Caenorhabditis elegans: one gene and its partner. The protein of the gene in region 1 interacts with the protein of each later gene in a pairwise test. Each region holds a gene or a part of one and is shown on either strand. Other genes may lie near its edges.

What was found. Proteins that work in one complex are often made in the same cells at the same time.
Region 2: the proteins of F21D5.4 (region 1) and srx-135 interact in a two-hybrid assay, tested with the Caenorhabditis elegans proteins (one large-scale study listed by BioGRID).

Annotation. Positions count from the first base shown.
Region 1 is NC_003282.8:8,735,609-8,740,630, reverse strand, and holds F21D5.4 (HTH CENPB-type domain-containing protein), read right to left. Parts: upstream 2,545-5,022; 5' UTR 2,543-2,544; coding exon 2,357-2,542; intron 2,309-2,356; coding exon 2,123-2,308; intron 2,079-2,122; coding exon 1,671-2,078; 3' UTR 1,530-1,670; downstream 1-1,529. Other genes in the region: F21D5.6 (Ribonuclease H2 subunit B wHTH domain-containing protein), read left to right, coding at 1-14, 66-343; mrps-33 (Small ribosomal subunit protein mS33), read left to right, coding at 605-748, 800-1,036; F21D5.5 (uncharacterized protein), read left to right, coding at 1,257-1,305, 1,353-1,405, 1,455-1,527, 3,650-4,020, 4,066-4,243, 4,289-4,395, 4,439-4,831.
Region 2 is NC_003283.11:13,856,457-13,862,368, forward strand, and holds srx-135 (7TM GPCR serpentine receptor class x (Srx) domain-containing protein), read left to right. Parts: upstream 1-2,749; 5' UTR 2,750-2,844; coding exon 2,845-2,889; intron 2,890-3,023; coding exon 3,024-3,264; intron 3,265-3,610; coding exon 3,611-3,763; intron 3,764-3,813; coding exon 3,814-3,977; intron 3,978-4,172; coding exon 4,173-4,238; intron 4,239-4,558; coding exon 4,559-4,689; intron 4,690-4,738; coding exon 4,739-4,865; 3' UTR 4,866-4,946; downstream 4,947-5,912. Other genes in the region: srx-134 (G-protein coupled receptors family 1 profile domain-containing protein), read right to left, coding at 1-20; srx-136 (7TM GPCR serpentine receptor class x (Srx) domain-containing protein), read left to right, coding at 992-1,280, 1,332-1,484, 1,607-1,770, 1,818-2,017, 2,369-2,486.

The sequences.
Region 1 (5,022 bases):
TTTGTTGTCATGTCGTAAGTTTCTCGTTTTGCTTCTTAATTTTACCAAAATGAAATAAATTTCAGCGGAAGCATTCGATCGTTATGTTTTCACATTCCTGTCTGAATATCTTTCTTCTGATCTTGCATTGATTGTTAAAGATCATTTGAATATTCAAGATGCTACTGTCTCCGAGAACATCGATATGAGTATGAAACGAAAAGCTGTGGATGACGATGAGCTTGAAGATAAGAAGCAACCTGTCGCAAAGAAACCAAAAGAATCAGTACAATCAAAGAAACTTCAAGCCGCCTCGAAGGGAACCAAATCAATCAGCTCATTTTTTGGAAAAAAATCTGCTTGAATCTCTATTTTCTTTATTCAACAATTTCGCATATAATTTCATAACATTGACCTCAATTTATCTATGATTCCGATGCTATTACTTTGCTCAATCTCAATTTTGCATTTCACACATTTTTTAATTCGTGTACTAAATAACTGAAACTTTGAAACGTTTTCGATTGAGAATACTCCTTCCGAAATGGGTCCTTTGCCTATTTATATCTATATTTAACAGTTTCATCCGATTTTAACGGATCAACAATAAAAAAAATATTTTAAGATGGCGGCACGTCTGGCTGCATCACGAATTGTGCACGCCGGCCGCGGAATCTCTCAACCTACACCATTCGGAAAACGAATGGATCGATTGTCAAATCGAGTATGGGGAGAGGTTGTCATGCCAACTGACACTAAAAGTTTAAAGGTTTTTAGATGATTTTTATAAAGAAAAGTTTCTGAAAATTTTCATTTACAGGTTGTCCGAGTAATGTCTGCAGAACCATATGAAACCAAAGAACAATTATCACCGAAATACTATCCAAATCTTCCGATGTTTCATTATTTGACCAAAATGCTACGATTCCATGGACTATTTTTTGATGATCACGTAGTTTTCAGAGATGTTCAAGATAATTTGAAAATTATTCGCGGAAAAGTTGTTCGGCCACCAATCGGTCAAGGAAAGCGTGCACAATTGAGAGGAAAGAAGTAGTGTGGATGTTCTCGAAGTTTAAATCTAGATTAGAAGTTTTGTTGATTTTTTTTTTACGTTTGTTTTAATTGAAAATAAATTCTTTTTGAGGTTTTGCTACATTTTTCCAATAAAATTAAAGTTTTTAACACAGAAAATATCGATTATTGATTTTCTTTTTAATTGCTCCACAAATAATTGGCAGACGTTGCTTTTTTCAGCAGTTTTCAGACTTAGAATTATGAAAAGAGCAATGGATGGAGCAAAAAACGAAGCGAAAAAATCTAAAGGTTTCGATTTTGCAATTTATCTGAAAAAGTTCATCTCCGGTTTACAGATACTGATTTATTTGGACGACCACTGAAAAAGACTGGATCCTGGGAATCAAAGGTTTCAAAAATAAACTTCATTAAAAAAAACTAAAGTCTGATTTTTCCAGGACAACGGCGATTTGATGATTTTCACCCATTCAGAATGTGAAGGAAAAGAGAAAATTGCCGCATTCGATATGGGTAAGAATTGGTCACATTATTTTATTGGCGAGATTTAACTTTCCATGAGTATTCCAAATTTTGATTATGAATATCAGATATGAATTGTTTCAATGGAAAATAACATGCTATAGTTTTAGAAAAATATGAACGATAACAAAAAATTAATAAGATTTCGGAGAACGGTTCACAGATGTTTCGGTTTCTTCTACACTGTCTTCCTTCCCATTAGAATCCTTAATAAGCATCTCCAATTGTTGAAAAATGTTTATTTCTGGCAATTTCGATGATTCATTTGGTTTCTGTTTTACTTCACTCTCTGTGGTTGTACTATTGTTTCCCTCGACTTTTAAACTAGTTTCTCCATTTTCTGCATTAAAATCTTCTAGGAATCCTGAAACATTTCCTTCTGATATATTCTTCCATTCATCACTGTTAATTAGTTCAAAAAGTGATTCTTCAAGCGTTTTGTCTGTTGTGCCATCACTAGTTGATGGCGTTTTTGGGCTTGAACTTCTTGCTTTTATCAATCCGTGTCGAATCATAAATCTTTGAAGCCAACCATTACTTGCCTAGAAAATATTTTATTCGAAATTCGAGTTTAAATGTTTCAAACCTTAAAGTCTGCATTTCCATTAATTTTCTTCGCATATTCCTTGATATCTTTTCCCGAAATTTTCCCGTTTTTCGAAGCAATCCAATCTTCAACTTTCTCATCTAATTCCACATTCTTTAGCGGTCTTCCTGCTCCACCGAGCCTCTTTGCTCCTTGTTTTCCTTCTGATTCGAATGCTAATTCGTGCTGAAATTCCAGAAATTTGTTGATAGAACTACTGTAGTTCAGAAATACCTTCAAATGTCTCCATCGTTGAATACAAGCTCTTGCAACTCCATATTTCTTCTGAGCTTGACAATTATTTGTTTGTTCAGCAAATCGAATAACTTCATTTTTGAATTCGAGTGTAAAATTGGCACGCTTCTTTTTTGGTGGTGGCTCGGATGAAGTTTCAAGTATTTTAGGAGAGATTTCAGTCATTTCTGAAGTTTAAAGCTGAGAATTCTACATTTCGGTTAGAATAGTATTACTCAGATTCGAAATTTTGCGATTTCCTACGCAAAAATGCGATACTAGGTCTTGGCACGACCGAATATCCTTTAAAAAGTACAGTAATCTCCCTGCCTCATTGGTTTGATTTTCCGATTTTCACATTTTTCCCAAAAAAAAATTGTTTTTTGTGAGACAAATCAAAAAATACTAAAATTTTATGCAAAATTCAGGAAAAAAGTCGAAGATGAATAAGTCAGAACAGTGACTCGTAGAGGTTACTGTACTTTTTAAAGGTGCACTTTTTTTCATATAAACTTATTCCGCAGTGTCAAGACCGAGTATCGTATTTTTGCGTTGAAAATCACAAAATTTCGCATCTGTGTAATATTTACATTTGCATCTTTAGAAAAGATAAAATAAATAAATAGAAAAAAATCAATGAATTCTAACGTCAAGAAGAAGGGAGTGCCGTTTTAATAGAGGGTGTCCACACTTCAAGAGACAACAGACAAACATTCAGAGTGTGTATGAAGATGAAGAGACACAGACAAACATACTATGCCTGTCTAATGGAGGGAGGCTGTGACCTACAATTAGAGAACACAGACGACTAGAAATACTGAGTGGTGTATGGATATATTTTTTGATTTTCTTGTTGTTGATGAGTGGGAAAACTCACGTCTTCTATCAAAAGAAAACACATATTTTTGGCGCAGAATTGATAATTTTCACGAAATATGAAATTAGTATCAAGAAACTTGGCCTTACTGAGACTATTCAAGCAGTGAGCCTCTGGCTCGGTACATTTATCCCTTGAACCTAAAATTGTGATGTAATTTCCATTTGATTTTCTTCAAATTAAGTAGTTTGCACAAATTAATAAAAATGTAATACTAATCAATTTTTTTTTTGGTAAATTGCCAAATTTTTGTGGAAATCCCTAAAATTACTGTAGATTCGAACCCCTACAACTATTTTTTGTCGATCTCCACAACAATAATAGATGAAAACCTGAAAAAGGTTAAATTTATGAGTTGTTCTAAACTTTCTAGTGTATGAAAAAAATATTTTTGTTTAAAAAAATCGTATTTTCAGACGGAACTCTGATCAAAACAAAGTCTGGAAAAGTGTTTCCAACAAATTGTCAAGATTGGCAACTTCTATATGACTCAATTCCATCAGATTTCAAAAAATTGCATTCCGACGGATTCAAAATTGTCATTTTCACAAATCAAAAAGGCATCCACGCTGGAAAAGTTGATCGAAATGAATTTAGGAAGAAAATTGAAGCAATTGTTGGAAAACTTGGAATACCTGTTCAAGCATTTGTTTCAGTTGCTGGGGGACACTATAGAAAACCATGTGTTGGTATGTGGAATGAGCTGAAATTGAGAAATGATGAAGTGGAAATTAATGAAAAAGAAAGCATTTTTGTTGGAGATGCTGCTGGAAGAATCAAGACTACAGTACGTGTGAATAGATTCAACTTTCATTTAATTCTAATTTTATAGAGTCGTCCTAAAAAAGATCACTCATACGCAGATCGTTTCTTTGCTGCAAATGTCGGTGTTAAATTTCAAACTCCAGAAGAATTTTTCGGAAAATCGAAAGTTGATGAGCCCTGGGGACCACCAAACTTTGATCCAAAAAATCTATTTTCAGAGGAAATTACTGAACTTGAACCTCATGGTGAAATAAAATTATGAGAAAACATAAATATAATTATATTTTCAGATGCTCAACTTAAATCATCCGAAAAAGAAATTATTCTAATGGTTGGATTTCCCGGTTCAGGAAAGTCGACTTTTGCTAAAATGCTCGGTCATCAACATGATTATAAAGTAAGTTTTGGAGCATTTTTCAACTCAAAAATTTTTGATTCATATTGTGAATCGTGACACGATCGGAACATGGCAAAAGTGTGTAGCAGCCACTCGTTCATATCTTGCTGATGGAAAATCTGTAGTTATTGATAACACATCACCGGATCTAGAATCACGAAAGCGATATATTGACGTGGCAAAAGAGCTCGGAGTGCCCATTCGATGTTTCGAGATGAATTGTAGTATGGAACACGCACAGCACAATATTCGATTCCGAGTGTTAACAGATGATAATGCAGCTGAAATCTCGTCAATGGTATTAAGAATTCATAAAGGAAAATATGTTGAACCAACACTGTCCGAGGGATTTTCACAGATTGTGAAAGTTAATTTCCGCCCGAAATTCGAAGTGGAAGAACACGAAAAACTTTACAAGATGTATTTGATCGAGTGATTCCAATTTGAAATTAATTAAATGTTAAATATATACTTACACATTCCAAAAATCTGAGTTTTAATTTTGTTGTTCAACTTGTGCAATAAATCTCATTCACTTTCCACTTTTTTCAGGCACACGTTCATTTATTAATATCAATATGACATCAAGCTGAGTAAAGTTCAAATTCTAATCATCAAAATTATCAA
Region 2 (5,912 bases), on another chromosome or scaffold:
AAAATATTCAAAAATACCATCAATATTATTTTAGTGTTGTGCAGTTTTTTCCTCAAACCTATGCGTTTTATACTGGTCAGAATGCTTGGTGGGAGCCCAAGAAATAAAACAAAAAAAAAACTAATCACTCATCTGGAACCAGAATGGAAGTTTGTTATGGAAATCCAGTGGGAAGACTGCTTCTCCAGAAAGATTTTTTTTCTCAGTAATTGAAAATTTCCAAAAATTGGCATGAAAAATTGGCGGCAGGAAATTATGTTCCTACGTGGAAACCGGTGATACATAGATATTTTTAAACTTTTTGAACTGTTGTGGGAAAATTAGTAGATAGTTTTCTTATTTAAGAGAACTGCGCCTGTGCACAATGATTAATGGAAATTTTCCAATTTACAAAAACATTCTCGTGTCGAACAAAATTATGAATCAGCGTTTCAAAGAAATATGGAAATGCGTAATGCTTTTCGTTCGTTTTGAAACCCGAGAATTTGGATCTAAAATCTGACACATTTTAACAAACTGTAATAAAAATCAGTAACTCATATCAAATGGGATTTTTCAAACTATGTTTCCAAAGAAAATTGAGATACAATTGTCAATTGTTATTATTAAAAAAATTAAAAATGTGTCCGCTCTCTTATTTTTTAATTGTGAGGTACCAGGGTCACAACAAGAGAAGCAATATATAATTACGCAAGTCGTTTATTTTTTACCGCCAAGGAAGTATATTTTTGACCAAACAGAGATATCCCCCACGACCCATTTATTTCAAACAATAAAAATTGATTTCTTGAACCCTATTTTTTTACTCAGAAATTCAGGCTTTCTCCAGACAGACCCGGTCAAGCAGCTGTCTTGCTATAATAGTTATGATTACGCAAAAAAGAGGAAAAGGAAATTGAGAAGGAATAGGATATAATTCACTCAACTCTTGGCCCTGATCTGCCTTCCACGTGGGGGAATAAGTATTATTTTCAAAGCCAGAAAAAATATAATGATTACAATGGTTTTTATAATTTTTGCCAATTTTTTATTATTCATAATCAGTTTTTCTGGAACCATACTAAATTCTTATTTACTCTACAAATTCAGTACAAGACGAGGAGTAATCAGCGGATTCTATAAACTTTGTTTAGTCAAAACCGTTCCAAATATAGTCGTCTGCGCGTGTTTTTTAATTTGGGCTGTTCCACTGGGCAGTTTTCGAGTGAAAAATGACAAAGTGCCGAGAGATGCAAATGTTTTTGTCGGACAGTTGGCAGGTGCCGGATCATATATATTTGGTGAGTTTTTTGAAATCACTAAATGTACGTATTAAAATCTTCTAAATGCAGGACCACTTCTTCACGTCGGCATGTCATCAAACAGATTTTCATCCCTGTATTTCCCAATTCAAATAATGAAAGCAAATCGATATCCAATTACAACAATTTCAATTGGAGTTGCTTTTATCATAGCTGTCGTTTTTACAGTGATTGGGCTACCAAGTATGTCGTTTGAAATTAATAAAACATAAAAAATGTTAAACACTCAAAAATAATCAAGTATATAAAAAACAGAATACAAAATATCAATAAACGATTTCCAGTCTAACCTTTTTAACTTCCAGAAGATTGCGGCTTCTTATACTTCCCTGAAACACTGGAATGGCTTTCCGAGGAAGCGCCGTGTGCAATATTTCAATACGATCTTCTCCTTTACTCCATTCTTGGATGTGCCGTGATTTCAAACTCTATGAACCTGGCAACAGCGGGAAGATTACTTTTTGATAAGGTATATAATACAGAACTTTTAACTAATTTATTTAGTATTGCTTCTAGGTTGGCGGCATGAGTGCAGCTGATTCGAAAGTCCGCCGAAAGAAATACCTCGTCACATATTGTCAAACTGTACTTCAAGATTGTCTACATGTCCTCGACATGATTAACAGTACATACACGTGGCAAATATATCCAGATTCAATATGGTTTCAGTTCTTCTGTCTCACTTTTTCTTTTGCCTCAATTCACTGTTTCGATGGGTGAGTTAAAATTACATTTAAAAAAATTGGATATCCATATGGAATCAAGCTTGAAATGCGATGTGTCGAAGTTAGACTTTTTAAATCGTTTTATTTGCATGAAATATCTTTGAAGTTTGGCCAGTTCATTTTGTTACACGTTAGGAGAGCTTTGAAAAATCGAAAAGTCCTGCCTACAAAACTCCATAACAAATTAAGTGGAATCAAATTTGAAATTTGATACCAATTTACTAACGAGAAATTGTTATTGTTATTGTATAAATCTACATATCTCCACTTGACTCTACCGTTCAGTTTTATTTTGCCAGCCTTGTCAAGCATAATTTTCTGAAAAAGAAATAAGGCTTTTAGATTCGTCATGTTCTACTTTCACAGCGAAGTTCATCCCAAATGGATGTGGCGGAAGGCGATGAGGAAAAAATCATTAATTTTAGTTGTTGCAATGTCAAAACCATCTACGTTCAGTTAACTGGTATTTTTTCTGAATTTAATTCATCATAGCTCAAAGTCATTTTGTTTTCTCGTATTTGTTGGTTATAAATCGTAAAACCCGTAATTTCAAGTACCAAAACAAGCATATAATTACAAACTTGAGCCGGCGTACACATCACGTGACCAGTATTTTTTCTCAGCTTCAGATTATTTTAGCACGTACTTGAGAAGGAGGCAATAACGGCGACAAAACCCAATTACCTAACACCCCTCCACGAACAAGAAATCTAGTTGTCCAGAATGATATTTCATCTGGCTCGTTTATTGACTCACAATTTATGACGGAAGAAAATTTGGTTCCAGACCAACTTCTTTTTATTCCGGAATCAAAGTTGATGTCGGTCATATTTCACGTTATTGCAGTTGTTTCTATGTTTACGGTAAGTTTTGAAAGTATAAAGTAAAAAGGTTATCAAAAAAAAAACCACGAAAGGGGCTCAGAAACTTGGTCTGTCAGCCATCTAACTGTATTACGAAATTACATAGAATTTTCGTACCCAATTCCAAATTCCAGATCAGTGCAATGGGTCTCGCAGTGAACACATATCTTTTTCAAAAATTTTCCAACAAAGCAGGTAGAGCAAGTGCTTTTCATAAGCTGTGCCTTGTCAAAACGATTCCAAATGCAATTGTGTGTGCATCATTTCTCATATGGGTTGTACCTTTGTCAATATTTCAGCCAGATTACGAAAATATTCCAAGAATACTGAATGTATTTGTTGGTCAAACTGCCGGGTTTGGCGCATATGTCACAGGTGAGTTTTTAGTCTCAGAATTGGAATACAAAATAACTAAAATCCTCTATTAAACAATAGACATGTATTAGCGACAAAATGAGTTTTTAAAAAACGGGGAATGAACTCATAAATCACACAAAACAATGTCGTGATTGTCTTTTTTGTGCCCTAAACTATAGAATAATTTTGTTTTGATGGCTAAAACTATAGTCTTTAAAATCTGAAACATACGCATACTCATACTCAGCTTGTCTATTAAAAATAATGTTGATCAAATCAACTAGAAAACAATGATTCAAACTAACTTCTGTATAAAATGTACGAAGTCTTCTTCTACTTTAAAATTAATTCCATAATTTTTCAGGACCAATACTGGAGCTATTCATGTCTTTGAATAGATTTGCAGCATTGTACTTTGCAACTAGACACCTACGTATAAGCGACTTTCCAATAACAGGAATTGCTATAATTGGAGCCTTTGCAGTAGCTATTCTGTACACATGCCTAGGCTTTAGACGTGAGTCATTACCATCGGAAAGTTACAGTAATAAATTTAATTATATTTAGCAAATTGCGGATTTGTGTTCTATCCGGCTACATTTACTTGGGATAAAGAGTACACACCCTGTGCAACTGGGATGTCTTCATTAATATTTTATTCAGTGGTTGCTATTGCCACGTGGACCAATTGTTTGAATGTAGCCACAGCATTCAAGTTGTCCATTGGAAAAGTGAGCTTTTGATTATTTGTTTTTTATTAGTTCAAGATGAGCGATTTTTACGAATGAGTTGTTCAAATTCATTACGAACTTGGGTATAATGATGTACATATTTACAAAAATATGCATCATTTCTAAAACATAGATTAAAATTTCAAAAGATCAGACTTATTTGAATTAAAATGTAACAACTGAGTGAAGTTTTAGGTTGCTGGAATGAATCAAGCCGATGCACATCGACGGAAAAAGAAGTTGATTTTGATGTTCACACAAGTAAGTTTATATCAGGCTTTACAGACAATTAAGACGCACATCTTTACAAAAGTCGAAGACCCGAAAAAAAATTAGCTTTTTCATGAGATAACTGGAGAAAGTCGAAAAATGTGTTTAATTTTTTTTCAGAGTTTTTAAATTCAAACACAATGTTTTCTATATTTAGTTTCTGAAAACTTTACACAAACAATATTAGCAATATCAGATAATAACAAAAAAAGGAGAAAATCTTTATTCCAATGAGCTCACAATCACAGACAGAACCGTTGACCACGAATTTGCTCGCTTCACTTGCATCCAAATTATCGTTTCTTTTTCAGAGTGTCATTCAAGACTGTCTTCACGTGATAGATCTCATCAACAGCATCTTCATATTCAAACTAAGCGATGCTCTTTGGTTTCAGTTCATTTTTCTTTCAATATCGTTTCTTCTTATTCATGCACTCGACGGGTAATCAAGCGTGGAGCAGCGTATTTAGACACAAAACTCTTTATTTCAGTTTTGTGATGCTCTATTTTCACCCTGAAGTTCATCCCAACTTTCTGAGAGGAAAGACGTCATCAAAGATAGCTACAATTGCAACGCCTACTTTTTTGGGAGATAGGAAAATTACAACTGTTGAATAATTATTCTCATTTTCAAATTTTTTTCGCTAGAACTTAATAATTTTATGTGATTGTTATTTGCGTGAATCCGGGTGAAATACAATACTCACATCAGTTCAATACAAATGTTCTAAATTTTTTACAGCTGTTAAGTCTCAAAGAATGTTAAAGTGTTGGAATTGTCTGTAAGACTGAAAAAGATTACTCAGTTTAATACCATGTATGATGTGGCATCTTTGCAAGACCCTAAAGGTGTTAATGTATAACATAACAAATCTAATTGTGCCGCGATTTTTATTGATAAACAAAAAATCAAAGCCCCATATTTTTAAAGATGCAGGTGAATTTTGAATAATGTTTACTGTTTTTGCTGAATTTTAAATGTCATAGATTGACAAACCACTATATGATCGAAATTTAATATAAAAACCGGAGAAAAACGAAAACAGATCTTGTTCTGATCTGGATGAAGAGATCTCGAAAATGTTCTGAAAGCGTGAAATAATTGAAACAAGCATGGGTGGTCATTTGGATTAATATACGATTATGTAGGTATTTTTTGTTACGGCTTACAAATGTGCTGTTATTGCGTCATTTTTATTAATTTCAGAAGTTTTCTTAGAAGTTTCACTTTTTTCAGAAGATGCATATGTATTCTTTTGGTTTTTCTTTGTAACATCACTTTTTGTTAACCTGAGAATTCTAATGCAAAAATTCTCACTTCAAGCATTTCTCAAAGTTTGTTTGAGACTTGAACACCACAATCTATGTACTCAGTTGTTTTTTATAGGTTTGTATGGCACGAGCGCAGAAGAAAATTTGAAATATTTGCAAAAAAAAACGTTGAAATTTAATTTTAAGTTTGTAATTCAAAAAAATGAAAAATTATTTTTTAAGTGGATAAGAGAAAACTAATTGCAGAAATCTAGTACGAAAACTGCAAAATTTAACGTGTTTTTGTTGTGATGCATAATAGGATTTCGTTTCAATTAAAGCTTCGCATTAAATGCCAAAAACTTTTAGCAAATACTTGAATAATTCATTAGACCAATAAATCTTCGTATAGTC